Linked DNA regions of Ovis aries. The protein of the gene in region 1 interacts with the protein of each later gene in a biochemical or structural test. Links are inferred from orthologs where the notes say so. Each region holds a gene or a part of one and is shown in the gene's direction. Other genes may lie near its edges.

Region 1 (3,500 bases):
CTCAAATTTTCTTTTATGGATTAGTTTAGGTCTATCCAATTACACGCTAATTTAAAGCACTTCATTATTTATCTATGTAAAATTCAAATCTTTGAGGGACCTTGACTATGCTAAACTGTAGCTATCTTGGGAAACCAAGATGTTTAGCTTCTAAATACTGGTCTACAATTCCTAATCCAGAATTTTGAAATTCAAAACCTAAACAATACATATTTTTTGAAACTTATTTGACTATAAAACTTGAACTTTTTATGAAGATACTTAGAATCTTTTTTATTTATTTCACTTGACATAAGCTGCTACAAAAAATGTAGATTTTTTAAATAAGAGGTATTCCTAAAGACCTTGCAGAAAGGATGGTTACATCTGTTACAGTTTGGGTTCCCATGCTACAGAGATTTTGGTTGTTAACAAATGTTCTTGGGATCAGGACCCGTGAGAGAAGGAAAAGAAGTGAGCTCAGACTGTGATACAGTCTTAGCAAGGTGTCTCTTCTGTGACAGATGCTCTCTAGTGGATATTAGCTTAGAATACAAAGATCATCACACTTTATACCCACTCCCATGGATTCAAATATATCCCTCTACCCCAGACTGCTTTCAATTCCAGTTCCAGATCTTCTAGCATTTCTTCTCTCAGAACAAGACACTGCTCATGCTGTTGCTGTTGTGTTAGTTGCTCAGTTGTTTCTGACTCTTGCAACCCCATGGACTGTAGCCCACCTGGCTCCTCTGTCCATGGAATTCTCCAGGCAAGAATAATAGCTATTCCTTTCTTCTGGGGACTTCCGGACCCAGGAATCAGACGTGGGTCTCTTGCATTGCAGTCAGGTTCTTTACCATTTGAGGTCATATTTACTCTAAACTCATATTTATTCCATACAAAGTAAAGGCTCCTTTGTACTACCCAGAACTATGCCCATTGGTAGAATTTTTACTTGCCACTCTTTCCAGTTCACTCCTGACTGAGGCTGCAAGGCAGGTACCATGCATTTTCAGTTGCCTGCACCTACATCCCAAGATTAGTTTTTGTACCCCTCTGACCTCTTGTAATAATTGCCCTCTCTTGGTTCCCCATGTAGCCATAGATATGAACTTAGTAAAAGGTGCCAGCACAGTGATCAGTGGATAATGTAGGGGTTTGGAACACTTGCTTATGCAGTTTACTGTGTGAGTGCCCCAGCTCATATCAATTCCAAATTCACTGCTTCCGTCTTACAATGGATTTCCGTTGGCCCTTCTCAAAATTATGATGTCATGGTTTTTAACAAAACTTTGTTTGTGATGGGCAATTCGGACTACATGATCAATCAATTACCCATGGTTAGGTAATCCGTCTCTACCACAGCCCAGAAGCATGTCAGGAGTTATTTATTAAATGGGGTATAATTCCTAGAGGTCTCTGATGTGATTTTCCAGTTGAAACTTGCCATAACTCCACATGGCATATTTTCCCACCATACATACTTCTAATATTATAGAATAAGTATATTAGAATATTGTATAATATTCTAATATTATAGAAGTATGTACGGGTTTTATGATCCAAATAACAGGATTGCTTGCAGTCCAGCCTAGACTTGCACTATTTGCCTTTCCTGCTCTGGATCCCTTCAAGATCAGAAGCCTTCTAGGCTACCGAATACTGCCAGAATCAGTATTTCCAAACATGGAAGAATGCTGCCTTCAAAACCCAAAAGTAGCCTGGCAGGTATTGTGTTTTCCCTTTATTGTAGAAATGGATGCAATAATTTGTCCTTATTTTTGGAAGGGAATGTTTGGCATATCCCACCGGAATTCTAAACATTCTATCATGGCAAATAATTAGACGTTCATGGTTTATTTAGTAACCATTCCTAAAATCTGCTGCTGCTGCTGCTGCTGCTAAGTTGCTTCAGTCATGTCCGACTCTGTGCGACCCCATAGACGGCAACCCACCAGGCTTCCCCGTCCCTGGGATTCTCCAGGCAAGAACACTGGAGTGGGTTGCCATTTCCTTCTCCAATGCATGAAAGTGAAAAGGGAAAGTGAAGTCGCTCAGTTGTGTCTGACCCTCAGCGACCCCATGGACCGCAGCTTTCCAGGCTCCTCCGTCCATGGAATTTTCCAGGCAAGAGTACTGGAGTGGGGTGCCATTGCCTTCTCCGTTCCTAAAATTATGGGGTCGCAAAAAAGCCGGACATGACTGAGCAACTAATACTTTCACTTTCCTAAAGTACTGCCCTTCCAAATTTCATCTTTTTTTCTTTATATGAAGCTATGGGACAATTTCTACAGCTCTCCATTGAAAGATGAACATATTTTAAACATTTCCTCCTGTGATATAAAGTACACTCCCTTCATCCAAGGCAGTTTAACTTCAGCTTCATTTGTGCTTCATGTAACTTGAAGTATTTTTAGATTTCAAACTTGTATCATGGCATGAAATGAAGCGGAACTGTTGACAAACAAACTAAATGTCATGCAGTTTCCTAAGACTATAAAAGAAATTCACTAGTTCTGGGGGGCAATTCAGGATGTGGAGCAGTAGCCAAGCAAGTACCAAATGTTGTTAACACACGCTGCCCTTGGATTTGAATGCAGACACTCATAGATGCTATTTCAGGTTGATTGCTATTTCAGGTTGATATGTTTAGATAAGGAGTTGTTGTAGGGAAAGAAACATACACACTATCATTTTCAAAGGGTAATAATGTTCAAACCCTAAAATATCTTGTTTCAAATTCTATTGCTGAACATCAACATTATTGGTAAATTTACCTTTTTCTTTTTTTTTTTTTTTAATCAGATAACTTTGTAGTTGATTCCAGTTCCTGTGTGCGTGCTTGTCCTAGTTCCAAGATGGAAGTAGAAGAAAATGGGATTAAAATGTGTAAACCTTGCACTGACATTTGCCCAAAAGGTAGTGATTTTGTACTGTCATTCTATGATAAAAATGCATTTTATTGACTAAAGGAAATTTTTCTCAACTCCCTGATCTTGTTTCTACAGCTTGTGATGGCATTGGCACAGGATCATTGATGTCAGCTCAGACCGTGGATTCTAGTAATATTGACAAATTCATAAACTGTACCAAAATCAATGGGAATTTGATCTTCCTTGTCACTGGTATTCATGGGTCAGTATTACATTTTTATTGAAAATGTTATTGTAAAATACAGAGTTTAAGAGATTCTTTAGTTTTATCAGTCTGATTCATTTTGACACAGAGTTCCATTATATATTAATGGTTTTTCCCAGCAAAATCAATGTCAGATTTCACCAGTGGTAATTGTAAACCAAATTTTGCAAGAATAATCCAGATTATAAATTTGTTGACTACCTGTATTTGAAAATAATGATTTATATATAAGCTAAGATGTATTTATAGGATATTCTCCTCAAATTCATAGATTTTAGTGAGTTTGACACATTTGTAGATACATTTAGGGAAACACTATCAGTGGATAAAGTGGGAAATTTCATTCAAATTCCTAACCCAATTAGTTCAAGATGACATAA
Region 2 (4,066 bases), on another chromosome or scaffold:
ACTGAAGGTCTTATTGGGCAGGGTTGGCTGGCCAAGTATAAAATGGCTCCCTTAATAATTACATGGAATTTGCAGTTGAGTGGGAGAAATAATGATGTTGGCTTTGAGTATGTTAAGTTTGGGATGTCTCTTAGCCAGGAGGGAAAGCTCTAGCTCCCGCCTCCCTTTCCAGAATAGCATTCCCAGCTCAAGTCAGACGTCCTCCTCCGGCTGGTTTCCTGCAGTCCTCAGGCGAGGATAAGATTCTCTAAGACCTTACTGGAATTCCTGAGCTCCGTATCCTTCAAGGACATAAGCTGGGTATTAAAATCTCTCTGGATCCTTAATGATAGAGTGAGAAAGGATCCTTAACTTGCTTTTAAAAATCAGATGCTGGCTTCAGTGAAGCAAACTCCCCTGCCTCTTGCAAGCATCGATCTTTGAGAAAGAAACCATTTCCTGTGGGGTAGCTCTGGCCCTGACCGTCTCTGGCTCTCAGGTTGGCTCCCAAGAAGCCCCTACCTCCTTAGGGAGAGGCTTTAAGGGGGGAAAAAAGAAGGTGATGAGGTTGTGTAGCATGCAGCCTGGTTCTGCCTGGCTGCTGGAAAAAAGCCCAGAGACTTAGAGGCTGGACCCTCTCTTAACCACCACCCCTGGTTGGGTGGCCCCAACGCCTAGCCAAGACTCCATGTAGCCTCAACTCTTCACCCAAATGACGGGGCTGGGATCCTCCCCAGCTGACTCGAATCTCCAGCCACTCACCAGGAGGTGGAGGGCCAAGCCCGTGGGCTCAATTAGGGACTGGCCCCTAGGGTCCTGCCGGGGAAGGGAATATACAACCCAGGAGGCAGGTCAGTCACCCTGGCCGTGGCATCTCCCTGGCTCCCACAGCCGATGTCCAAAGGCAGAGCACACCCTGTGTCCCACTCTCCCTTCATAGGACGGTACCAGAATCTGCTACCTTTACCCTGCCCTCTGCTCACGCACTACCCCCACTATCGTGCGGATAAATCCCCAAAGCACAGCGTAGCACGATTCCTCTCGCTTCCCTGCGGGGCCTGAAGCTAGGCACTAAAGCAGTGCAGTCCCAAGCTTCCCCTGCAGAAGCCGCGCTCCCCACTCGGTTCGGGGGTAGAGGGGGCGCGAGAGAGCAAGTGGGAGGACGTCCCATCCTCCGCATCCTCCTCCCGGTCCCGGCGCGCAGGGTGGGAGCGCTGCGCCGCTCCGCGCTGCGCATCTCGGCCCGCTCGCTGCCTGCCCCCCTGCCCTCGCTGGGCCACCTCCCCGGGCCGCCGGTGGAGGGTTACTGGGCGCTAACGTTACGCTGTTTCCGGTTTTCCAGCGGGCTCTGGTTTCCCCTCCCAAGGCGGCGGCGGCGGCGGCGGAGCGGCGGAGCCCCCCAAATGGCCTGGCCAGATGCGGCAGGTTTGCTGCTTAGCGCTGCCGCCGCCGCCGCCAGTGGAGAAGGCTCGGTGCAGCAGCTACAGCGACAGCAGCAGCAGCGAGAGGAGCAGCAGCAGCAGCGGCAGCGGCAGCAGCGGCGAGAGCGGCAGGAGCAGCAGCAGCCACATCAACAGCAGCAGCATCTCTCGTCCCGCTGCGCCCCCAAAGCCGCGGCCGCCGCAACAGCCGCAGCCCCGCAGCCCCGCAGCCCGGAGAGCCGCCGCCCGCTCGCGAGCCGCAGCCGCCGGAGGCATGAGGCGCGACCCGGCCCCCGGCTTCTCTATGCTGCTCTTCGGTGTGTCGCTCGCCTGCTACTCGCCTAGCTTCAAGTCGGTGCAGGACCAGGCGTACAAGGCGCCCGTGGTGGTGGAGGGCAAGGTACAGGGGCTGGCCCCGGCCGGAGGCGGCTCCAGCTCCAACAGCACCCGCGAGCCGCCCGCCTCGGGTCGGGTGGCGCTGGTGAAGGTGCTGGACAAGTGGCCGCTCCGGAGCGGGGGACTGCAGCGCGAGCAGGTGATCAGCGTGGGCTCCTGTGCGCCGCTCGAAAGGAACCAGCGCTACATCTTTTTCCTGGAGCCCACGGAGCAGCCCTTGGTCTTTAAGACAGCCTTTGCCCCTCTCAACACCAACGGCAAAAACCTCAAGAAAGAGGTGGGCAAGATCCTGTGCACTGACTGCGGTGAGTTGCCCCCTCTCTCTGCTGGAGAAAGGGGGGAGGGGCGAGGTGGTGGAAGATGGGGGTGGGGCGGGAGGTATCTGCAGGTGCCCGGGCCTGGCAGAGCCCGGGGCCGCTGGTGAGGGCTGGGGGTGGGGGGTGGCGGGAGAACGGGTGGTGGGGCTGTCCCTGGGCAGGGCGCTTGGCATGGTGGGTGAGGGGGTTGGTGTTGGGGAGAAAGAAGATTAGGCTCGAAGTGTGCCAGGGCTGGGGGGCGGGGGGACGCGCTGGCCTGTGCCAGCAGGGATCTGCGGCTGATGTATGGCATGTGGGGCTGGAAAGCTGCCATCATAGCCCAGTAGCGGCAGGAAAAAAGGAGAGGTCCGCGTGTTGCTGGCCCGAAGCTCAGTGAGTCAGGAGTGACCCTCGGAGGCCTTGCCCGCTCTGCTCCCAAGGGCCTGCCTTGCCCAGGCTGGCAGGGTCTGCAGGAGCAGCTGGGCAGACTCCCAGGCTGTGAAGGCCTCCGCTTACAAGTTCTCCTAGGGAATGATGGCCCCCGCCCCCTCCTTCCTCTCCTGGGCTTCGGGCTCAGCTCATCCACACCGCTGGCGCAGGCAGAGTTGGACTTTTTCTGCTACTGTTTTCTGTCCCCCATGTGGTTCAGGGTTTTGTTTTGTTTTGTTTTGTTTTCCTCCATCGTGATTGCTTGTCTTTGCTGAGCTGGTTGCACAGCCCTCTCTTAACCTCCAGTACTAGTGAGCAGACACCTCTTTTGGCTGTTTCTGGGAGATCTTCCTAGGTCTGTTGCTTGTGATGACGGGTGAAATAGAGTAACTTCTCCTGAATGCTGTGAAGTTCAGCTCTGACATCTTACGGCGCAGGATGTGTTGACTGCATATCTCATCTTCATGATGTTGGGTGCTACACAGGAATGCAGGTGATGAGAAACACAACACTGAAGTCTGTCCATCTGTGCAGCTGGGAATGGAGTCTCCCATGTGAAAAGTCAAAGAAATGTCAGTTTAAGATCTTTTCCTCCTTGTCCCTGAATCCAGTAATTACTTCTCAGGAAGCTATTTCAAACCAAATCGTGGCTGGACTGGAGTGTTTGGTGTTAGCCTGTCTTGTGCTTATTCATATTGGGGTTTCATTTCGTCCCAACTAAGGCTGAATTTGATGTTTGCAGTGTGCGTCTGAGCTGTGCAGTCACTGAACTGTGATAGATACCCTGGTCTGTCATAGAAGTTGGTATATTTACTAGTCTGCCAACTGCTTCTGAGTAGTGTAAATAAGACTCTGAGTAGCAAAGAATGTGTAACAGCTCGGAGGAAGTTTTGCTGCCCTCATCTTTCTAGATCAATGCCTTTGACTTTTGGAAGCTTCCTTTCTACTGCATGTCCCCCGCCCCCTCCCTGCCCCTGTCCTTCAGAAGACAAATTTTAGTTTGTGGTGGGAATATATCTAGATATTATGTTAAACTGTGATCACTTTAATCAGAAGAATCTTGCAGTGTCTTAATAAGGAAGAAAGAAACTTTTGGTGATGACAGCAGTTTATCTCTCTGACATTGTTCTGAGGAATATTGTTGACTGCTCTTTAATGTTGGTTTTTGTGCTCTGAAACATTTTATGATAAGTTGAGACCAGTTAAGAATTTCTAATTTTTTATTCTGCTAAGTGATTTTTTTTTCCCTGAGATTCCTTGGGGGAGCTGTGGAACTGTATTATGCAGCGAGAAATAGATAGTAAAAACATTTATTGAACCTTGTCCAAGGACAGCTTCTGTTTTGCTTTTCAGTGAGTTGCTCCTGAGTGTGCATTGTGTACATCCCCACCTAATCCCCAGTCTGATGCACCAAGCCCCAGTGGTCATCATCCCCTGTCTTGCTCCTCTGTTCCCCCTTCTTCCTTCAGTTATACCTTGTTTATTTTAGTGAGTGTTTAATAGCTAAATAGTTGAATATGGAGATCATGAAAGACCTAGGGGTCA
Region 3 (3,500 bases), on another chromosome or scaffold:
TCTGCATATAAGTTAAATAAGCAGGGTAGCAATATACAGCCTTAACATACTCCCTTCCCAATTTGGACCCAGTTTGTTGTTGCATGTCTGGTTCTAACTGTTGCGTCTTGACCTGCATACAGGTTTCTCAGGAGGCAAGTAAGGTGTTCTGGTATATCCCAGCTCTTCCATAGTTTGTTGTGATTCACACAGTCAAAGGCTTTAGCATAGTCAATGAAGCAGTGGTAGATGTTTTTCTGGAATTTTCTTGCTTTTTCCATGATCCAGCAGATGTTGATAGTTTGATTCCTCTGCCTTTTCTAAATCCAGCTTGAACATCTGGAAGTTTTCGGTTCATGTACCGTTGAAGCCTAGCTTGGAGAATTTTGAGCGTTACTTTGCTAGCGTGTGAAATGAGTGCAGTTGTGTAGTAGTTTGAACATTCTTTGACATTGACTTTCTTTTGGTTTGGAATGAAAACTGACCTTTTCCATTCCTGTGGCCACTGCTGAGTTTTCCCAATTTACTGGCATATGGCGTTTACACCATCTCTTAGGATTTGAAGTAACTCAACTGGAATTCCACCATCTCCACTAGCTTTGCTCACAGTGATGCTCCTAAGGCCCGCTTAACTTCTCCCTCCAGGATGTCTGGCTCAGGTGAGTGATCACACCACCGTGGTCATCTGGGTTATTAAGATCTTTTTTGTATAGTTCTGTGTAATCCTGCCACCTCTTTGTAATATCTTCTACTTCTTTTAGGTCCATACTATTTCTGTCCTTTACTGAGCCCATCTTTGCATGAAATGTTCCCTTGGTATCTCTAATTTTCTTGAAGAGATCTCTAATCTTTCTCATTCTATTGTTTTCCTCTTATTTCTTCACATTGATCACTTAGAATTTTCCACAGTTTGTTGTGATTCACAGTCAAAGGCTTTAGCGTAGTCACTGAAGCAGCAGTAGGTGTTTTTCTGGAACTCTCTCGCTTTTTCCGTGATCCAGCAGATGTTGGCAATTTGATCTCTGATTCCTCTGCCTTTTCTAAATCCAGCTTGAATATCTGGAATTTTTCAGATTTCTTATCTCTCCTTGCTATTCTTTCATCATGTACCCATATTTTAAAAGTTGAATGTGTAGCTCCTGTACATAGGTATTGTATATGTACTGCTGCACAAATACATTTACTGTGAAATAGAGCAAAAATATACACTTAAAAGGTTTACATAAGAGATAAATTATCCTGCTTTCTTTGCACACTCCCTGGACCGTCTTGCTTGCCCTGCTTCGACAGCATGTAAACTATCTAGAACCTGGCCCCTCCATCCTTCTGTTAGTCGTCCTGATGTCAGGAAGTGGGACAGCGGTGGGGAGGAGGGGCCACTCTGAGAACTTTCGGCTTATTAAAAGGCCAGTGATAAGCCATCATGTTCATTTACCCCCCATCAGTATTCATCTGAGGGGTATTCTGATATGTAATCTCATGGCGTGCCAAGAGTGTCAATTAGCTGTTCAGCCCCTGAAACAGAGCTGTGCATAATTCATTAGAAATTCACTCTCTTCGCCTTCCTCCGACGGGGCTGAGGTTTGGGGAGGGCCTTGACTTGCCCGGATCTGGGAGTCCTGTGTGCAGCCTGCTGTTCTGACAGATGCCCCGTCCCTCAGTGTCCCAGGTGCTGATGGCCACCGCGCTGCTCCCGCCCTCGGAGGGAGAGCTCTGTCACTCACTCGCGGGGAGCTTGGCAACGCCAGAAAGATTTCTTAGACACTGTTATTCATATTTAAAGGATGCCCATTTAAAAGTTTTAAAAGGTCACCCTTCTAGTTCCCCGAGCATAATAGCCTGTTGTCACTGCACTCTGTGGCACGCGGCCCCTCTCCCTCCTGCCCAGCCTTGCGGGAGCCGCAAGCAGCCGCCTGGTGGGAGAGGCCCAGCTCCTGACCCTGTGCTTGGCCTCGTCTGCCTTGTACCCTCCAGATGGTGGTGTGCAGGGGCCTTTTCTGCTTTAACAGGGGTGGGGCAGTGGGCGCGGGTGCCACAGCTTTTTGTTCTGCTGTCTTCAAGGAGAGAGAGCTTAGCTCTGCCCAGTAATGACAACACCAACATGCAGTGCCAACAGCTACTGAGGATTCCGTGCCAGGAGCTGTGATAAATGCCCACATCCCTTCTATTCTCACTGCAGCACTCCAGGTAGCTCTAATGTGCTCCGTTTCATCGATGAGGAGGCCGAGGGTGAGCAGAGAGAAGTCACTCGCCAGGGTCGGGCAGCCCAACCACACACGCAGGCCTGGCAGAGCCCAGATGCAGGGCCTTTCTGTGAGGAGAGGCCGCCGGCCCGTGCGAGGCCAGGCTCTTCGCTTCTGGCCTGGACTCGTTCAGCTCTTCCCTGTGTGTTTCAGATCCTGTGGACCATGAGCCCGCTGTATCTCCACTGCTCCCTCGAAAAGAGCGGGGTCCTCCAGATGGCGGCCTCAACGAGGATGAACGCCTGCTTCCCAAAGACAAGAAAACCAACCTGTTCAGCGCCTTGATCAAGAAGAAGAAGAAAACTGCCCCGACCCCTCCCAAACGCAGCAGCTCCTTCCGGGAGATGGATGGCCCGCCCGAGCGGAAAGCGGCCAGTGAGGAGGAAGGCCGGGAAATCAGTAACGGGGCACTGGCGCCGGCACCCCTGGACACAGCGGAGTCGGCCAAGATGCCGAAGCCCAGCAGCGGGGCCGGGGTCCCCAATGGAGCCTTCCGGGAGTCTGGGGGCGCGGGCTTCCGGTCGCCCCACCTGTGGAAAAAGTCCAGCACACTGACCAGCAGCCGGCTGGCTGCCGGTGAAGAGGAGAGCGGTGGTGGTGCCAGCAAGCGCTTCCTGAGGTCCTGCTCAGCCTCCTGCGTGCCCCATGGCGCCAAGGACACAGAGTGGCGGTCAGTCACCCTACCTCGGGACCTGCAGTCCACCAGCAGGCAGTTCGACTCGTCCACCTTCGGAGGCCACAAAAGCGAGAAGCCGGCCCTGCCTCGGAAACGGGCAAGCGAGAACAGGTCTGACCAGATGACCAGAGGCACGGTCACCCCGCCACCCCGGCTGGTAAAGAAAACCGAGGAGGCCGCCGACGAGGTCTTCAAGGACGCGGCTGAGGCCAGCCCGGGCTCCAGCCCGCCCAGCCTGACGCCAAAACCGCTCCGGAGGCAGGGTGCGGCTGCGCCTCCCTCCAGCCCTCCCCACAAGGAGGATGCCGGCAGGCCCAGTGCCGCGGGGACACCCGCCGAGCCGGCACCCCCCACCAGCCGGGCCGGGCCAGGAGCTTCCGGAGGGCCCAGCAAGGCCGCCGCCACTGCTGCAGAGGAGCCCCGGGGTAGGAGGCACAAGCCCGCCTCCGAGTCCCCGGGGAGAGACAAGGGGAAGCTGTCCAAGCTCAAACCCGCCCCACCGCCCCCGCCACCCACCTCCGCTGGCAAAGCCGGGAAGCCCTCGCAGAGCCCAAGCCAGGAAGCAGCCGGGGAGGCAGGCGCTGGGGGGAAGGCGAAACCCG
Region 4 (4,014 bases), on another chromosome or scaffold:
TGCCATCCAGCCATCTCATCCTCTGTCGTCTCCTTCTCCTCTTGCCCCCAATCCCTCCCAGCATCAGGGTCTTTTCCAATGAGTGAACTCTTCGCATGAGTCTTAGAATCTATTAAAAAAATTTTCATTTTATTTTTTTTAGCTTGAAATAGTCATATAGTCATTTATATAATGAAAAGAGAACGGAAACACTAACAGGACTCTCTCGGACCTCCAGGCAGGTACCCCTCCAACTGCCACCCCCGCGGGCCTCGGCCGTCGGGTTTCTGCGCCGCCGGCCACGGCGTCCGCTCTACCGGTCGGGAAGCGAGGAACTGGCTTTGCCTCATCTCCCCTTCTCTTTCCCTCCCTCTTCAAGAAACCCTCCTCGTCGCTCACAGGTTTTTACCCCGCTGAGCGGCCGCGTGCCGGGGACCCACTCCTCCCCTCCGCCGCCTAACCCGTCTCTCAGACAAAGCCCAGTCAGGCAGGCGCGCGCCACCGGCCACACCGACCGGCGAGGCGGCCGCGCCGCCACGCGCTTCCCCACTGGCTCGGGACTGCTAGCTTGGCCGCGCCTCCACGCGCTCCCCTCGGCTCGGGACAGCGAGCGCTGCCGCACACCGCGCGTCCCCGCCGCTTCCTTCCCTCCAGAGTCTTCCTTTCCCTCCTCCAGACCCAGCACGCCACACCCCCACCCCAACCCACCGCCTCCGCGCGGGGAGTGCGCCTGCGCAGAAGCTGCCCTCTCGCCCCTCCTTCCCCGCCCTTCCTTCCCTCCGCCCCTCCTCCCGCGCCCCGCCTTCCTTTCTCTCGTCGATGTCACTTAGCGCTCCAGGTTGGGAGCCTTTAGGTTGATTTCCCCGCTACCCCGCCCCCCTTCCTCTTTTTCTCCCCACCCCTCCCGCCTCAGCCCGGTGGAGGATGAGGCGGCCGCAGTGGCCCCAGCCCCTGCAGCGGCACCGGCGGTGGTTGCGGTGGGGGTGGCCGGAACTGGGGTGGTGAAGAAGCGGTGGCGGCGGCGGCGGCTGAGGGAGCAGCAGCCGCCTCAAGCCGCTTTCCCCCCCGCCTCGCTTCCCTTCCTCTTTAGTGCAGCCAGGAAGTTTTTCGCTTCTGTGCATGTGTGTGTGTGTGTGAGTGTGCGCGCGCGCGCGAGTGTGGGTGTGGAAGGTGAAGGTTTGGGCGGCGTTTGTGCAGGCGTTGGGGTTTTTTGCCCACTTCTCTTCCCGTAACCCGGGGAGCTCCCGAACCTGGGCTGTGGCCCGGAGAGGGGGCGCGGCGGCAGCGGGCTCTCTCCTTTTGTTGTTGTTTCCTCCGCCCGGGGAGCTGAAGAGGGGACGCGCCTGGGTGGGGCGGCTCGGAGCCCGGGCCTGGTGGCCCCTGGGGGCTCCCGGGCGGGCAGGGTAGGGCCGCGTAAAGCGGGCTTCAACATGATGGCGGCCGAGGCCGGCGGTGAGGAGGGCGGCCCGGTCACCGCCGGGGCAGCGGGAGGCGGCGCGGCCGCGGCCTCGGGTGCCTACCCGGCGGTGTGTCGGGTGAAGATCCCCGCGGCCCTGCCCGTGGCCGCCGCCGCCCCCTTTCCTGGGCTGGCGGAGGCCGGCGTGGCCGCGACTCTGGGTGGCGGAGCCGCTCTGGGGTCAGGCTTCCTGGGACCTGGGTCTGTGGCGGGGGCCCCGGGGGGAGCCGGACTGTCAGCCGGAGGCGCTGCCGCCGGCGTGGCTGGTGTCGCCGCCGCCGCCGCCGCCGCCGCCGCCGGACCCGGCGGGGAGATGGCTGAAGCCAAAGGGACCACTTCGTTGCCCACTGAGACCTTCGGGGCCGGCGGCGGATTCCCTCCTCTGCCGCCGCCTCCTCCTCAGTTGCCCCCTTTGGGCGCTGGCCTGGGAACAGTGGACGAAGGTGACTCTCTGGATGGACCAGAATACGAGGAGGAAGAGGTGGCCATCCCGCTGACCGCTCCTCCGACTAACCAGTAAGTCAAGACCGGCGTTTTGGGGGAAGCTGACTCCTTGGAAAGAAATAGGAAAAACAGGTCTAGTTCTTTTCAGCTGTGACTCGTAGTGCTTTCAGCTGTGACTCGTGTTTTCAGCTGTGACTCGTTCAGAAAAAGTTCTGAAGCTCAAGGTTCCGTGCGTACGGATTTAATTTGATCACTCATCCTCCCTACAGGCACACTCCCTGGCGTCTTGGTATATTTATTGCTCCTCTGGGAAGATGTAAAGTTTTCAAGATGGGAAGCATGGGAAAATGTGTATCCAGGGAGAACCGGATATGGTTCTGTCCCTTGCAGATTGAGGTGGCGTCCTGGGATTCAGCTGAGTTTGCAGCTACCGAGGCAGTCGTAGTCTGTATTAACCTGGTTGCATTCCCTGTTGAAGCTAGACAATTAGTGAGAAGCTTTGAATATTTGAGTGAATATCGTGGTAGTATTGTTTGAAACGTGCCTTGGTCGGATTGCTTTGTTTTTGTTGCCCTGCAATTCCCGGCTTCTGGCTGTTGAAAGCACTGCGATGCAGAAAAGACTTTGGATTGCTTTTGAGAACGTGGGTCAGCGAGAAAGGAAAGTTCTGTTAATTACTGGTGTGGTTAAGGGCCTGTACTCCCACAGTATTTAACATGTGCAGTAGAATTCCCGTTTACTAATATGCTAGTATAATTCTTCTGTAAGTTGAAACTTTGTAAGTACAGTATTGAACTAGAATTAATATTGTGCTTCCCTTCACCTTTTGTTGGTGGCAAATACAGTATTCTATTTGAAAATTAATTTTGACAGTCTTCTGCAGAATATACAGGACAAATGACTTACATATATATATAGTACTTTCTCCCTTGTTCTCTTCATAAGTGAACTTAGGTTTGGATCTTGAGAGGAACATGTTGATGGGCAGTAGGCAAAACTTGTTTTATAGATCCCTCATATCTGTCTTAATTGTCCTTTAGAATTTTGACAACCTTGGTGAGGTATCAGAGGAAGAAAGATTTGATTCCTGTGTTGACCATCACTCTAGACAGTTGAAGGTGTTTTTTGTGTCTGTTTTTTTTTTTTCTTTTCTTTTTTTGGATAAGCTTCTTTAGAAAATTTAGAAAGGACTTAACAAATTAGGGCATTTTTGACTTAAGGCTACATACATCTTTTGATGGAAAAGTAAAGTTAATCTTATGTCAGCCATGGGACAGGGGAGTTTTATTCTTTTTATATTGTTCATCATGAGTTCAATTTTTTGTCTAATTTAATTTCTGCTTATCATTTCTTATCTACATATTGCAGACTTCTCTGAAGGTGTTCTGAAAGTATTAAAAATTCAAAATTTACAGCTCTGTTTACACATCTTCAAGCCTTTTTCAAAACTACTTAAGTATTAAGGGCCCTGTGGTTATGATAAAGTTCAGCTTTTCATAATGAAAGAATATAGTCTTATGTTAGTTCTTAACTAAATTGAATAAGGCATATTTAGTGTGTTGCAGTTCTAAATTTTTTTAAAAATAGAATTTATTTGTTAGAGCAGTTTTAGGTTCACCGTAGAAGTGAACAGAAAACACAGTGTTCCAATTAAATTTTTAATAAATATAAATGAGAACCTAAGAAAAATTATTCTTGTGAGAAATCCATTGTAAGATTTTCATCATTTGTGTTTGGGAATAAAAATATTATTTGTGTAACTCTGTATATGAGAATTGTTCATGTTCTAAAAAGTATCCTCCATTTCACTATAGTTTTTAAAAGTTGCCAACGAGAAGTACAAATTTCCCTCTCTTCTTTATCTTAGATATCAACCCAGACTTACTGGAGGCAATACAGTGTAGGGGTTAAGGTGCAAAATCTGAAGTTAGACAAGATTTGGGTTGGAATCCTGACTCTGCTACTTACTAGCTGTATGATCTTGCAAAGGTCAGGTTCCCCATCTGTAAAATGGGGTAATAATGCTATCGCCCTCATATGATACTTTTTAAGGTTAATGAGAAATCCCTGAATGTATTCAGCACAGTAACTCATACGTAGTAAGTGTTCAGTAAATTGGCTCAAATAGTACATAA
Region 5 (3,500 bases), on another chromosome or scaffold:
TGTGCACGTGCAAGTGCTCTGTGAACTCCAGAGCACTTATGCCCAGGGAAGGGTGGTGCTTCTTATTTATTTTCCTGCCAAGTAGAGACTGTGTGTATCATCCTAGTGTCTGTCTACCTTCTGACTTGACACCCTTCAGAGAAATTCCTGTCTCTTTGATGGTCAGGAGTTTCTGAGTGCCTAGTTAGTTTCTTTTTTAAAATTCCAGAGGGACAGTGGCTTGTGGCCACAGTACAGGGGGTGTTGGGTGCTATGTAGGGACCTGCAACTTTGTGGGTGGTTGGGATGATGTGTCTATGTGTGGGTGTTTGCACCTGACTATATACGTGTGTAGATGGACTTGGATGATGAGGTTGCCTTTAGTGGGACTGTGTGTGCGTAAGTGGATGCTTGTGCATGCGCGTGCGCGCACGCGTGTATACTCATCGGTATGTGACAAGTAGGATGTGCATGGGTAGGACTGGACCTGGGCTTGTGACCATGTATGTGCATGGGTCTGGATGAATGTGGTCATTTGACACATGCTCTCTGTGAGACATGGTGCTAAGTTTTAACCACTTGGAGGTGAGCCATACCAGCTGTGGACCTCCTGTGCTGGAGGTGAGGGCCCCCGGTAGTAGAGGTGACGGTGTCCATTCTCTTCCTGCCCCCTGCTGCGAGAGAGAGTTCATAGTCTTTCAAGGCTACTACTGTCTAAGATAGAGGTAGTCAGTGTTAGACCATGAGATAAATAGATCAAGCAGGGTCTCCAGAAGCCCTTTTTGGAGGTGGGGAGGGCGGAGAATTGATATTCAAAAAATGATAAAGTAGCCAACATAAGAAAATAGACTTTCATTGGGCTTGAGTTGATTCTTATTTTTCCTTCTTTTTTGAGGCATAGCATACATAATATGCTTGAATACTGAACATCACATTTACTTCATCTGTGTACACACCACTCAGATCTGCTATCCCAGAAATTGCCATCTCCCAGTCAGTATACTTATTTTAATGAAGGGGCTACATGCTCATGCTACAGTCTTCAAAAAGGTGGACTGGAAGGACTTCCCTGGTGGTCCAGTGGCTAAGAGGCCCCCAAGGCAGGGGGCCTGGGAGAGATGCCTGCTCAGGGAAGTAGACCCCACATGCAGCAACTAAAGACCCTGCAGGCTGCAATGAAGCTCAAAGATCCTGCATGTCACAACTAAGACTTGGTGTAGCCAATTAAATAAGTAATAAATACAAAAATATTTTTTAAAAAAAGGTGGAAGGAGAGAGATGGAAAGGTCCCTCCCAGCCCCTTCCTCCAGCTACCCGCTCTGGTCCCTTCCCTAGGGAATCTACTCACAGGATTTCTTGTGTATCTTTTTTTTTTTTTAAATTTTGGCTGTGTCTCAGGGCTTGTGGAATCTTAGTTCCCTGAGCAGGGATCAAACCCTTGCACTCTGTAGTCCTAACCACTGTACTCCCAGGGAAGTCCCCTCTTGTGTATCTTGCATTGGGCTTCTTTCCTCTTGCTTTCGTTTGGCGGTATGTTTTTTTGGAATTAGACGGAGTATCACAAGCTTTTAGTGTTTAGGGCCTCTGCAGGTGAACAGGCCCTGAGAATAGGCCATGGCCAGGTCTGGGTGCCCCGCTGCAGCCCAGGAGACAAGCCCCTGGGCAGAGTCCTGAGCTCCGTCGGATTCAGACCAGACCCCCTCAGCAAGAACCTACAGTTCAGACTCCGGTGGATCCATCCATAGGGCTGGCGGCTCTGGCCCCACCTGCTTCGCATTCCGCTTCTCACCTGACTGCAGGGTTGGGGCACGGTGGATGGCCCAAAGGCCGAGGACAAGAAGCAGGGAAGGTGCCAGTTGGACAGGGCTGCTCCAGGGTCATTTTATCCAGCCCTCTGTCCCAGGGCACCTATTCAGATGTGTGTGTCGAGGGAGGGTTTCTATGCCTCTAAGAGGCATCTGCCCAGCCTAAACAGTTAGGAAACTGCCCTCCCCCCACTTTGGCCTGATTGGAAGAGTCTCTCAACCTCTGTTCGTTTTTTTAAAAAGTTATTTATTTATTTGGCTGCACCTAGTGTTAGCTGCAGCATGTGGGATCTAGTTCCCTGACCAGAGACCCAACCTGGGCCCCCTGCTTTGGGAGCAGAGTCTTAGCCACTGGACCCCTAGGGAAGTGCCCCCCTCCCCAACCTTTTTAACTTTTTCTCTTCTTTTTTGAAATTTACTTATTTGGCTGTGTCCAGTTTTAGTTGCAGTACACAGGATCTTCCATTGTGGTACACAGATTTAGTTGTGGCACGGCTCAATTGCTCCACAGCATGTAGGATCTTAGCTCTCTGCCCAGTGATTGAACCTGTGAGGCCTGCCTGCATTGCAAGGCAGATTCTTAACCACTGAACCACTAGGGAAGTCCCTTAACTTTTTATTTAACTTTTTATTCTGTTCTCTGAAGCCCTGAGGCCTGGCATATAGTAGCTAAAATCACTAGCTTTGGAGCCAGGCCATCCGGTTTGCACTCTGGTTTGCCATTTACTGACCGTGTGGCCCTGGGGCAAGCTGCCTTCACGCCCAGAGCCTCAGGTTCTTTGTCTGGAAAATGAGAATAATGAAGGTACCTGCTTCACAGGGCTACCTTGAGGACATATCAGATAAGGCAGGTAAATACTGCCCAGCACTGTGCCTGTTGTCTAGGCAGACACCGCTAATGATAGTTGCCACCCTCAGCATTATTATTGGTTTGGACCAGGGAAGGCTGCATGGAGCAGGAAGAGATGGCGCGTGACTGTGTGGGTTCCCATGGACCAAGCATGAGCTGGCCTGGGGCGCTGGAGGCTCACGTGTGTTCTCATTTGGGTGGTCGTGTGTGGAGGTCCACCCTCCCCAGGCCTTCAATGGCGGGCGTGTGGGAAGTGGGTCCTGTCCCCACCCCCACCGCCACCCCGAGCTTCTCCCTGCTCTGCCCTAAAACGAGAAGTGAGTGAGTTCCCCCAAGGGGTCGGCCGCGCCCCTTCCTGTCCCCGCCCTGCCGGCTGCCCCAGGCCAGTGGAGTGGCAGCCCAGAAGCAGGACAGGACCGCGCTGGGTGGCGAGGTGGCCTGGGTGCTGATAGCTGCCAGAGCTTAGCCCCAGCGTCCCCCGCCTGCCCAGACTCAGCGGCACCACGCCGTTGCCTCACGCCTTCACCCCCCTCCCCGCCCCGGGCACCCCAGGATGGTGAGGTAAGGGCCGGGCACCCATGGTAGGCAGGAGGCAGGGTGCCCCAGGGCCCTGAGGCCTCTCCTCACCACCCTCCCGGCCCCCAGGTGGTTTCACCGAGACCTCAGTGGGCTGGATGCGGAGACCCTGCTCAAGGGCCGAGGAGTCCACGGAAGCTTCCTGGCACGGCCCAGCCGCAAGAACCAGGGTGACTTCTCCCTCTCCGTCAGGTAGGTGGCCCACGGCTCCAGCCGGGGGTGGGGTGCCAGCCCTTGGCTGCTCGTTTCGCTTCCCCAGGCCCCTGGGTGTATCCACCCCAACCCTGGCC
Region 6 (3,983 bases), on another chromosome or scaffold:
TAGAAAAGTCTTCTTAATCCTTGCAGTGCAGTTATAGCTGAGGACATGTGGTATACATTACAGCGCTCAGGGAATTCAACCTCCGCAGTGTGGAGTCACAGTGAAGGCTATTTTCAAGATGAAGCGGGAGCCTTCTCTATAGCTGTTACTGGTGTTTCTTGTTGGCTGGACATCAGTCCGGGACTGCTGTGAGTGGGACAGAAGGATGAAAATTTAAAGGGGACCCGTGTGGGCACATAAAGACCTCTCTCCCCTCCCTGAGCACCCCCTTCTCCAATGTATATTCCACACTTCACACTTGGGCATCACCAAGTCTTACCCAGTCATTGCAACAGGGCTGAAGGCAGAGCTGTCCATGGTTAGGAGGAAAAAAAAGAAAAACAATGTTCTTGCTGTTGGTTGAAACACCAGGCAATAACAGTCCTCTCGGTGAACAAAACTTATTAGAGGGCTGGGGATGGAATGCTATCTCTCTGCAGCAGGCAGGAAGAAATTGCTGTTGAAAAGCTTACCTCTCTAGGGAGGAATCAGATATCAGACTTTGCCAAGCCTCAGGTCCAACCCATAAGGTCCCACCTACATCCACCCCCCGCCTCATCCTAGCTTTGTTAGATTGCTAGCATTGATCGCTGGCTTTTTCTGACCCAACAGTGGATGCAGAAGAGAGAACCAGGGAGACTTTAGAGCATGGGAGGTGGGGGTGGAAGATTAGGGCAGCTGTGGTAGGGAGGAAAAAAGAGAGAAAGAGAGAGAGAGAAAGGAGGCTAGCCGGGTGGGGGCCATGGGGACTCAGCTTAACTGCTGTCTGCCTGCTTCTCTTTGATTTGATGGCCTTTATTCCTTCTAATTGGATAAAATAGGAAGTCACTGGCAGTCCCGCCTTGCTGGGTATCCTGATTCTACTCAGACCAGCCAGCAGCCCCAGAGTGCGGATAGAGGGGTGGGGGTTGGGAGAGGAGGGAGGTAAAAAAGAAAGAAAGAGGGGAGAGAGAGAGTCTCTGGATGAAGAGGGGGAAGGCAAGGGGAAGAGACTGTGGAGAAGGCAGGAGCCGCAGAGGAAGAAAGTGAATGAGCCTCGGGAAGGACAAAGAGGAGTGGCTGCGCGGGTGGGGGAGAAGGCAGGGCGGCGAGCGCGGCGACCGCCCCTCCCGGCCGCGCTCTCGCCTCCAGCGCGCTCTGCGAAGAGACGCTTCGCCGTGATGCTCGGAGGGCAGGCACCTGCTGCTCTGTGATGATTCAGCCCCTTTCAGCCGCCGCGCTCACACCACAGGATGCTGTTGCTACTGTCGCTGCTGCCGCTCCTGCCGCCGCCGCTGCTGCCGCCGCCGCCGCCGCCGCTGGTCCTGCTCCTGCTTTTACTTCTTCTGCATGACAGTTGCTTTCTCCATCTGAGCAGACCCCAGCTGCAGCTGCTCGAGGTGAGAAACATGCCTTTCAGTTTGGGCTACTGGTTTACTTAACCGACCGCCGCCGCATCAGCTCCTGGGTTTCTCCGCTGGCCTCCGGTCTTCCTGACCCAGCCAGGATGGTTTGGAGAAGCATATAAAAGAACTGCAAAAGTGGCCCAGAAACAGCAGTCAAGAATTACAATATACTTTTATTTGGTTGTTGTTGTTGATTTTTTTTTGGCCTCCCCTGCCTTCCTCCTGAACTCCTCTTGCTTTTGATAATGGCCTTGGACTTGGACGACTTATCGATTTCTCCCTGTAAGATGCTGTATCATTTGGTTGGGGGGGGTTCTGCATGGTAATGGACAGTGTGAGAGGCCAGGCCTCCTGGAGGTGAGCCGATGGAGATTTATTCCCCAGACATGTCCGAGGGAGCTGCTGAGAGGTCCTCGAGCCCTTCCACTCAGCTGAGTGCAGACCCATCTCTGGACGGACTTCCGGCAGCCGAAGACATGCCGGAGACCCAGACTGAAGATGGGAGGTCCCCGGGGCTCGTGGGCCTGACTCTTCCCTGCTGCGTCTGCCTGGAAACCGAGCGCCTGAGAGGTTGCCTCAACTCAGAGAAAATCTGCATCGTCCCCATCCTGGCTTGCCTGGTCAGCCTCTGCCTCTGCATCGCGGGCCTCAAGTGGGTGTTTGTGGACAAGATTTTTGAGTATGACTCTCCCACTCACCTTGACCCTGGGGGATTAGGCCAGGATCCTATTATTTCTCTGGATCCAACTGCAGCTTCAGCTGCTGTGTGGGTATCAGCCAAGGCGTACACTTCACCTGTCTCCAGGGCTCAGTCTGAAACTGAGGTTCGAGTTACAGTGCAAGTTGACAATGCCCTTGGGTCCTCCGAGCCTTCGGCGGTCCCCACCCCCAAGAACCGTATCTTCGCTTTTTCTTTCCGGCCGTCCACTGCTCCATCCCTCCCTTCACCCACTCGGAGCCCTGACGTGAGAACACCCAAGGCAGCCACTCAGCCACCATCAACAGAAACTAATCTCCAAACTGCTCCTAAACTTTGTAAGTAGAGAGAGACGGGTGAGGATGTGTAGAGGAGATGGGTGGGCTTGAGGTCGTCCGAAGTGTTCTCTAGAGGGTAGAGCTGAGGTCCTTGTCTTCTCGGAGTTGAATGGCACGGTTTGGTTTAAGCGCATCACGTGACTGGGTTGCTCCGGCAGAGATGAGTGAAAAGACCTTACAAACTGCTGGTTAGAACTGATGCTATCACAGCAACTCTCTCTTCCTGGATGGTGAAATCTGGGGTGAGGACCCAGAGCTTCAGCATCTCTGAGCCATGCTTGACTTTCAGTTCCATTCCATAGGTTTCTAACACTTTTTAGGATGAAAACATCAGACCATTTTATATATATATGACTTCTGTACAGCAGTGAGTAGGATCCTGATGTGTTTTTTTTTTCCCCATGTAAACTTTCCATTACCTCTCCTCACCTTTCTGCTATCCTTTGCCTTCCAGCCAGCCCAAGTTGCGAGTTATCTTTCTCCATCTCTTCTTCCTGTTCCCTAAACCACTTCTCCCCACGTTTGTACTTTAATTGCTTCTTCCCAATATCACATGAAGTCTTAGATGTTTACAGCACTCACCTCTTACCAGCAGGTTGCTGTCATGCTCAGATTATAGTTTGAGTTGCTGAGCACTTGTTAGGGGCAGTTTTATTCAGGATCTGGTACAATTCCACATGAAAAGATTTTCCCCAAACTAGGTTGTTGTTTTTTTTTTTAATTTTATTCAAGTATAGTTGATTTTACAATGTTGTCTTAATTTCTTCTGTACAGCAAAGTGACTCTGGTATACACACACACACACACACACACACATACACACACACACACACACACACACATATATTCTTTCCTATTATACTTTGTCCAAAGTGGTTTTGCCTTCTGGAATCAAATATTTAAATAGCTTCCTTGACAGTCATTAGAAAGTACAAGACGCATTAGTAAATCTTTTTTTTTCAGATGTGTCTTTTTTGTCCGTAAGACTGCAGCAGTCCTGTTTAATAATCTGTGAGTGAAGAGAGCCCGTGCTCTTAAAACAATACAGAGGAGTCCTATTGCTGTCTGTACTGGTCATTGCCATGCTTTATAATGGAAAAGTTGACAAGGATGAAACCATGACTAGTCAGATTGTTTTAAATGTCATTATAGAAGAGAGGCATTTTCTATAGCTTTTAAAAAAGTTTCTAATTTACTTTCGTTTCACTGTCTTCTGTTCACCATTGAAACTGTTTCCTTAGAAAAAAGTAAAGGATCAGAGAATTCTGTTTGAATACCGTGTGTAAGTAAAGTCTCTAAAGGAGAGGTGAGGGTAAAGATTCTGTGATGTAATACCCCTACTGTTTCCCTCTGGATGGTAATGAAGATTAAAAATATCTTTTGCAGACATGTCGTTCAGTATGCGGGAGAGCCATATGTTCTAGAAATGCAGAAAAACTTGATTTGTGCTTGTGATTCAGGCTCATTTCATACACACCAGTTTCAGTGGCAAAGATTTAAAGAGAAAAACAAAAGAGGCTTGCT
Region 7 (4,272 bases), on another chromosome or scaffold:
ACTTGAAATGCTCTTTTTCTAAATTTCCACTGACTGCTCAGGGCTTCCCTGGTGGCTCAGATGGTAAAGTGTCTGCCTGTAATGTGGGAGACCTGGGTTTGATCCCTTGGTCGGAAAGATCCCCTGGAGAAGGAAACGGCAACCCACTCCAGTACTCTTGCCTGGAAAATTCCATGGGTGGAGGAGCCTGGTAGGCTACAGTCCATGGGTGGCAAAGAGTCAGACACAACTGAGCAACTTCACTACTAGACTGCTCCTTGACTCAAATATCATCCTTAGTGAAGCTTTCCCTAAATACCCCCATTTAAAGTAATATAAAGGGCAATGGAGAAAAGAAGGGAGATGAGTATTGGGGGTATTATCTCAATTGTTTTATTTATTATCGATTACTGTAGCTCCTCCCATGAGAATATCGGGGATTTTTGTCTTTTCAGTTCACTTTTATCTCTATAGTGGAAAATCAGTGCCTAGCAGACAGAAAACGCTCACGTTTCCTTCTAATGATAATAGAGCTAATAATGACACACAAAAAAAGTGAAAAAGTCAAAGTGTTAGTTGCTCAGTTGTGTCCAACTCTTTGTGACTCCATGGACGATAGCATCACAGGCTTCTCTATGGAATTCTACTGGCAAGAATACTGGATTGGGTAGCTATTCCCTTCTCCAAGGGATACTCCCGACCTAGGGATTGAACTGGGATTTCCTGCATTGCAGGCAGATTCTTTACCATCTGAGCCACCAGGGAAGCCCCAATAACTACAGGAGAGAGTGAGTAAAAGTCGCTCAGTCGTGTCCGACTCTTTGCAACCCCATGGACTATACAATTCTTGGCATTCTCCTGGCCAGAATACTGGAGTGGGTAGCCTTTCCCTTCTTCAGGGGATCTTCCCGACCCAAGTATCGAACCAGGGTCTCCTGCACTGCAGGCGGATTTTTTACCGAGAACTTATTAAACAGACCAGGCCTAGTTCTAAACATTTTACATATTTAATCGTCCTCATAATCCTAAGAAGAAAATACAATTACTATTCTTTTTACAGAAATCAAGGATGGAGGCTCAGAGAAATCAACTTTCCTAAGGTTCAGTTCAGTCGCTCAGTCGTGTCCGACTCTTTGCGATCCCAACCTCTTTCCTAAGGTTACACAGCAGTAAGTGGAACAACTATTTGAGGAATGAAATGAATGAAATTCGACTTCACAGCGCAGGGATGGAAATTGACGCTGTGGGAGCAGCTAGAATCAATTCACGCGACTGCGTGTAACTTTGAGCACACAACGCACGGTTTAACGCCAGGATCTAAAGGAGAATGAGAAGGTCCTTTGGGAACAGCGCGGCAGAGGCTCCACAGATCCACTGAACTGCCATGACCAGCCTCAGCGCAGAATGGAAGCAGGAAGTAGCGGCGGGCGTCGCGTGGGAGTGACGTCACGGAGGAGCCGGCGGGGAAGGGCGGGGGAGGAGGAGGAGGAGGAGGAGGAGCGAACCGGGCTTGGGGGGCGGCTGCACAGTCTCCGGGCTCCTCAGGCCTTGAGGGGGGTCTGCGCGCGGCCGGCTGGCTCTGCCCGCCCCCCCCACGTCCGGTCCGGAGCGGGCCTCCCTCGGGCCAGCCCGATGTGACCGGGCCCAGTGGAGCCTGAGTAAGGAGCCGGTTCGTCGCGGAGCCGGAGGGCGGGAGGAACATGACATCGCGGAGGTGAGGAGCCCCGAGGGCCTAGCCCGGGCCTCGGCCCGGCCCCCGCCGCTTTCAGTCAGCTCCGCCCGGGAGGGGGCGGCTCGGCTGGGCTTCGGACTCCTGCCCGGGGTCGCGGGGCAGGCTCCGTTCCAGCCCCCTAAGCCCTCCAGGGCCCCGGGGCCCGGCCCTAGCGCGCCCCCAACCCCTCGGGTCCTCATTCATTTCCTGCCTCCACGGAGTTCCGGCTCCCGCAGCCCTGGGGATGCCCGTCAGGACGGGGACAGGTAGAGCCGCCCGGGGAACCGCGGACGCTAGCGGCTCGGCTCGGCGCGCCGCATTCCTGACCCATTGCCTCATGAGAATTGCCTCATGGTGATTCCGAAATAACCCCGCTCACTTAGGGGAGGCTCCTCGGCCCGGGACGCGGGAGGGGAGAGGAGAGAGTTGCGCGAGGCCAGGCCGATAGTCGAGCCTTTTTGGGTCACTCTGCGTTTTGCGCGCATTTGGGGGCTTTACTCAGGGTCCTTGACCACTTTGTATGCCTCTTTGCATCTTCTTCTCCCCCCCCCCCCCACCCCTCACGTGCCAGAAATGGAAAAACTGACTATATCTGCAGCTATTAGAAGTATTTCCTTCCTCTGCGATCTTCGCTTTGGGAGGTGGGAGGGAAGGGATCGTATCTCTAGTTATTTTAATCCTTCACCACAACCTTAAAAGTCAGGTAACATTAATTACCTCCGTTTTACGGATGTGGAAACTGAGGCTCAGAAGAAACATACTGGTAAATGACAGGGTTTGAACCTAGAAGTCAGAAGGAAGATGAGTGAGTTAATGAGATCCTTGGAAAGTAGTATAGTAGACTATACTACTAATTGCTAACATTTATTTAGCTCTTACCGTATGCCAAACACATTTAATCCTTATAACCCTATCAGGTAGGTACTGTTATCCCGCTCTAAAGAGAGTAAATGAATTTCAGAAGTTAAGCAACTTGCCTAGTAGTTCTAGTGCTAGTGTTGGTCGCTCAGTCGTGTCCGACTCTTGCCTAAGGTCACTCAATCAGTAAGTGGTGGAGACAGAACCCCACTGTTAATTGCTATTATAACTATTGCCAATCATTTGTAAGCCTTAATTTTGTTGTTAAATATTAGTATGATTGATTGTTTTCAGATAATGATCCTGCTATTGTATTGTCATTCTGTATAGAATTCACACTGTCTTAGACATTTGGAAAACTGTTTCAAGCTGTTGGGGTTATTGACTGAGAAACTTCAAAACATTAGGAATGTCTTCTCAGAAATACACCTGCACATTATTCATTGATGGGATGAAAAGAGTGAAAGGAGAAAACTGAAAACTCAAGCAGTGAGTGATTTGGACAGGTCTTCTGGCAAGTGCTTACAGATCTGGGTAATATATAATTGCATTTCAGCAGAACAGCGTATAGCCTCAGATGTTCTAATTCTTTAGAGAGCGTTTAAATAAAACAGTTTTCTATTCTTTAATCTGTCAAATAGTCATTGAGCCTTTTGTTCCTTGTGTCTGCTTTTCCAGACAAGTAAGGATCTGCTTCTTTTAGGAGACAAAAAGTCTGGGGACTGGGGGTGGGGTAGGGGCTGGGTAGTAATAGACCCTACATTGTCCAGCTTGTTAATTTAGAAGCCAGGAAGTGTGAGAAGAGCCAAAGCAGCAAGTGGTAAAGATGACAGTTTGAAATGAAGTAATTCCTCCTCTCCTCTTCCGGCTCTCCCATACTTGTTTTGGAAGAGAAATATGTGCCCCCTAAGAAGTCAGATTATGATTGTAATGCACACACACACACACACACAAATGATTGTAATGCACGACTTCCCAGGTGGCTCAGTGGTTAAGAATTCACCTGCCAATGCAGAAGACTCAGATTGGATCCCTGGGTGGAGAAGATTCCTTGGAGAAGGAAATGGCAACCCTGTCCAGTATTCTTGCCTGGGAAATCCTATGGACAGAGGCGCCTGGCTGTCTGCAGTCCATGGAGTTGCAAAAGAGTCAGAGATGATTTAGCAACTAAATAACAACAACAACAGTGCACACAGTTGGGGATTATTTATTATTAGTTTTCAGATCATAGGTCTTTTATTATTTTTAAACCAGCTTTATTGAGGTATAAGTGACATGCCACAAATTCCATATATTTAAGCATACAATTTGATAAGTTTCCACACTTATACACTCAAGAAACCAGCAATACAATCAAGATAATGAATATATCCGTCACTCCTGTGATGGCTCCCGGAACCCTTTATAATCCCTTCCTTGTTGCCAGGCAGACACTCTTCTGCTTTCTGTCACTATATGTTAGTTTGCATTTCCTAGGATTTTATACAAGTGGACTTTTGTGTGTGGCTTCTTATGCTCAGCAGAATTATATTGAGGTTCATCTATGTTGTTGTGTATGGTAAATAGTTCCTTTTTATTGATCAGTGATATTCCACTGTATGCCTGTACCACCCTTCATTTTTCCATCCAGTTGTTGGTAGACATTTGGGTGGTTTCAGAGTTTGAAGTCAGGTGAAGTCGCTCAGTCGTGTCCAACTCTTTGCGACCCCATGGACTGTAGCCTA

What was found.
Region 2: the proteins of ERBB4 (region 1) and NRG2 form a complex in vitro, tested with the Homo sapiens proteins (2 studies listed by BioGRID). The link is inferred for Ovis aries from reciprocal best matches to the Homo sapiens genes ERBB4 and NRG2.
Region 3: the proteins of ERBB4 (region 1) and ABL1 form a complex in vitro, tested with the Homo sapiens proteins (2 studies listed by BioGRID and IntAct, with this or other methods). The link is inferred for Ovis aries from reciprocal best matches to the Homo sapiens genes ERBB4 and ABL1.
Region 4: the proteins of ERBB4 (region 1) and RASA1 form a complex in vitro, tested with the Homo sapiens proteins (2 studies listed by BioGRID and IntAct, with this or other methods). The link is inferred for Ovis aries from reciprocal best matches to the Homo sapiens genes ERBB4 and RASA1.
Region 5: the proteins of ERBB4 (region 1) and PTPN6 form a complex in vitro, tested with the Homo sapiens proteins (2 studies listed by BioGRID, with this or other methods). The link is inferred for Ovis aries from reciprocal best matches to the Homo sapiens genes ERBB4 and PTPN6.
Region 6: the proteins of ERBB4 (region 1) and NRG1 form a complex in vitro, tested with the Homo sapiens proteins (2 studies listed by BioGRID and IntAct, with this or other methods). The link is inferred for Ovis aries from reciprocal best matches to the Homo sapiens genes ERBB4 and NRG1.
Region 7: the proteins of ERBB4 (region 1) and PTPN11 form a complex in vitro, tested with the Homo sapiens proteins (2 studies listed by BioGRID, with this or other methods). The link is inferred for Ovis aries from reciprocal best matches to the Homo sapiens genes ERBB4 and PTPN11.

Annotation. Positions count from the first base shown.
Region 1 is NC_056055.1:213,465,239-213,468,738, reverse strand, and holds part of ERBB4 (receptor tyrosine-protein kinase erbB-4), read left to right. Parts: intron 1-2,787; coding exon 2,788-2,901; intron 2,902-2,990; coding exon 2,991-3,117; intron 3,118-3,500. UniProt on the Homo sapiens protein: Tyrosine-protein kinase that plays an essential role as cell surface receptor for neuregulins and EGF family members and regulates development of the heart, the central nervous system and the mammary gland, gene transcription, cell proliferation, differentiation, migration and apoptosis.
Region 2 is NC_056058.1:48,884,841-48,888,906, reverse strand, and holds the start of NRG2 (pro-neuregulin-2, membrane-bound isoform), read left to right. Parts: upstream 1-1,266; 5' UTR 1,267-1,395; coding exon 1,396-2,101; intron 2,102-4,066. UniProt on the Homo sapiens protein: Direct ligand for ERBB3 and ERBB4 tyrosine kinase receptors. Concomitantly recruits ERBB1 and ERBB2 coreceptors, resulting in ligand-stimulated tyrosine phosphorylation and activation of the ERBB receptors.
Region 3 is NC_056056.1:5,788,136-5,791,635, reverse strand, and holds part of ABL1 (tyrosine-protein kinase ABL1), read left to right. Parts: intron 1-2,375; coding exon 2,376-3,500. UniProt on the Homo sapiens protein: Non-receptor tyrosine-protein kinase that plays a role in many key processes linked to cell growth and survival such as cytoskeleton remodeling in response to extracellular stimuli, cell motility and adhesion, receptor endocytosis, autophagy, DNA damage response and apoptosis.
Region 4 is NC_056058.1:84,552,087-84,556,100, forward strand, and holds the start of RASA1 (ras GTPase-activating protein 1), read left to right. Parts: upstream 1-1,214; 5' UTR 1,215-1,409; coding exon 1,410-1,951; intron 1,952-4,014. UniProt on the Homo sapiens protein: Inhibitory regulator of the Ras-cyclic AMP pathway. Stimulates the GTPase of normal but not oncogenic Ras p21; this stimulation may be further increased in the presence of NCK1.
Region 5 is NC_056056.1:209,354,266-209,357,765, reverse strand, and holds part of PTPN6 (tyrosine-protein phosphatase non-receptor type 6), read left to right. Parts: intron 1-3,019; exon of another isoform or gene 3,020-3,187; coding exon of another isoform or gene 3,188-3,195; intron 3,196-3,279; coding exon 3,280-3,402; intron 3,403-3,500. UniProt on the Homo sapiens protein: Tyrosine phosphatase enzyme that plays important roles in controlling immune signaling pathways and fundamental physiological processes such as hematopoiesis.
Region 6 is NC_056079.1:27,643,960-27,647,942, forward strand, and holds the start of NRG1 (pro-neuregulin-1, membrane-bound isoform), read left to right. Parts: upstream 1-1,183; 5' UTR 1,184-1,271; coding exon of another isoform or gene 1,272-1,460; 5' UTR 1,461-1,789; coding exon 1,790-2,459; intron 2,460-3,983. Other genes in the region: uncharacterized LOC128092250 homolog, read left to right, coding at 1,272-1,460. UniProt on the Homo sapiens protein: Direct ligand for ERBB3 and ERBB4 tyrosine kinase receptors. Concomitantly recruits ERBB1 and ERBB2 coreceptors, resulting in ligand-stimulated tyrosine phosphorylation and activation of the ERBB receptors.
Region 7 is NC_056070.1:61,963,578-61,967,849, reverse strand, and holds the start of PTPN11 (tyrosine-protein phosphatase non-receptor type 11), read left to right. Parts: upstream 1-1,472; 5' UTR 1,473-1,679; coding exon 1,680-1,693; intron 1,694-4,272. UniProt on the Homo sapiens protein: Acts downstream of various receptor and cytoplasmic protein tyrosine kinases to participate in the signal transduction from the cell surface to the nucleus. Positively regulates MAPK signal transduction pathway. Dephosphorylates GAB1, ARHGAP35 and EGFR.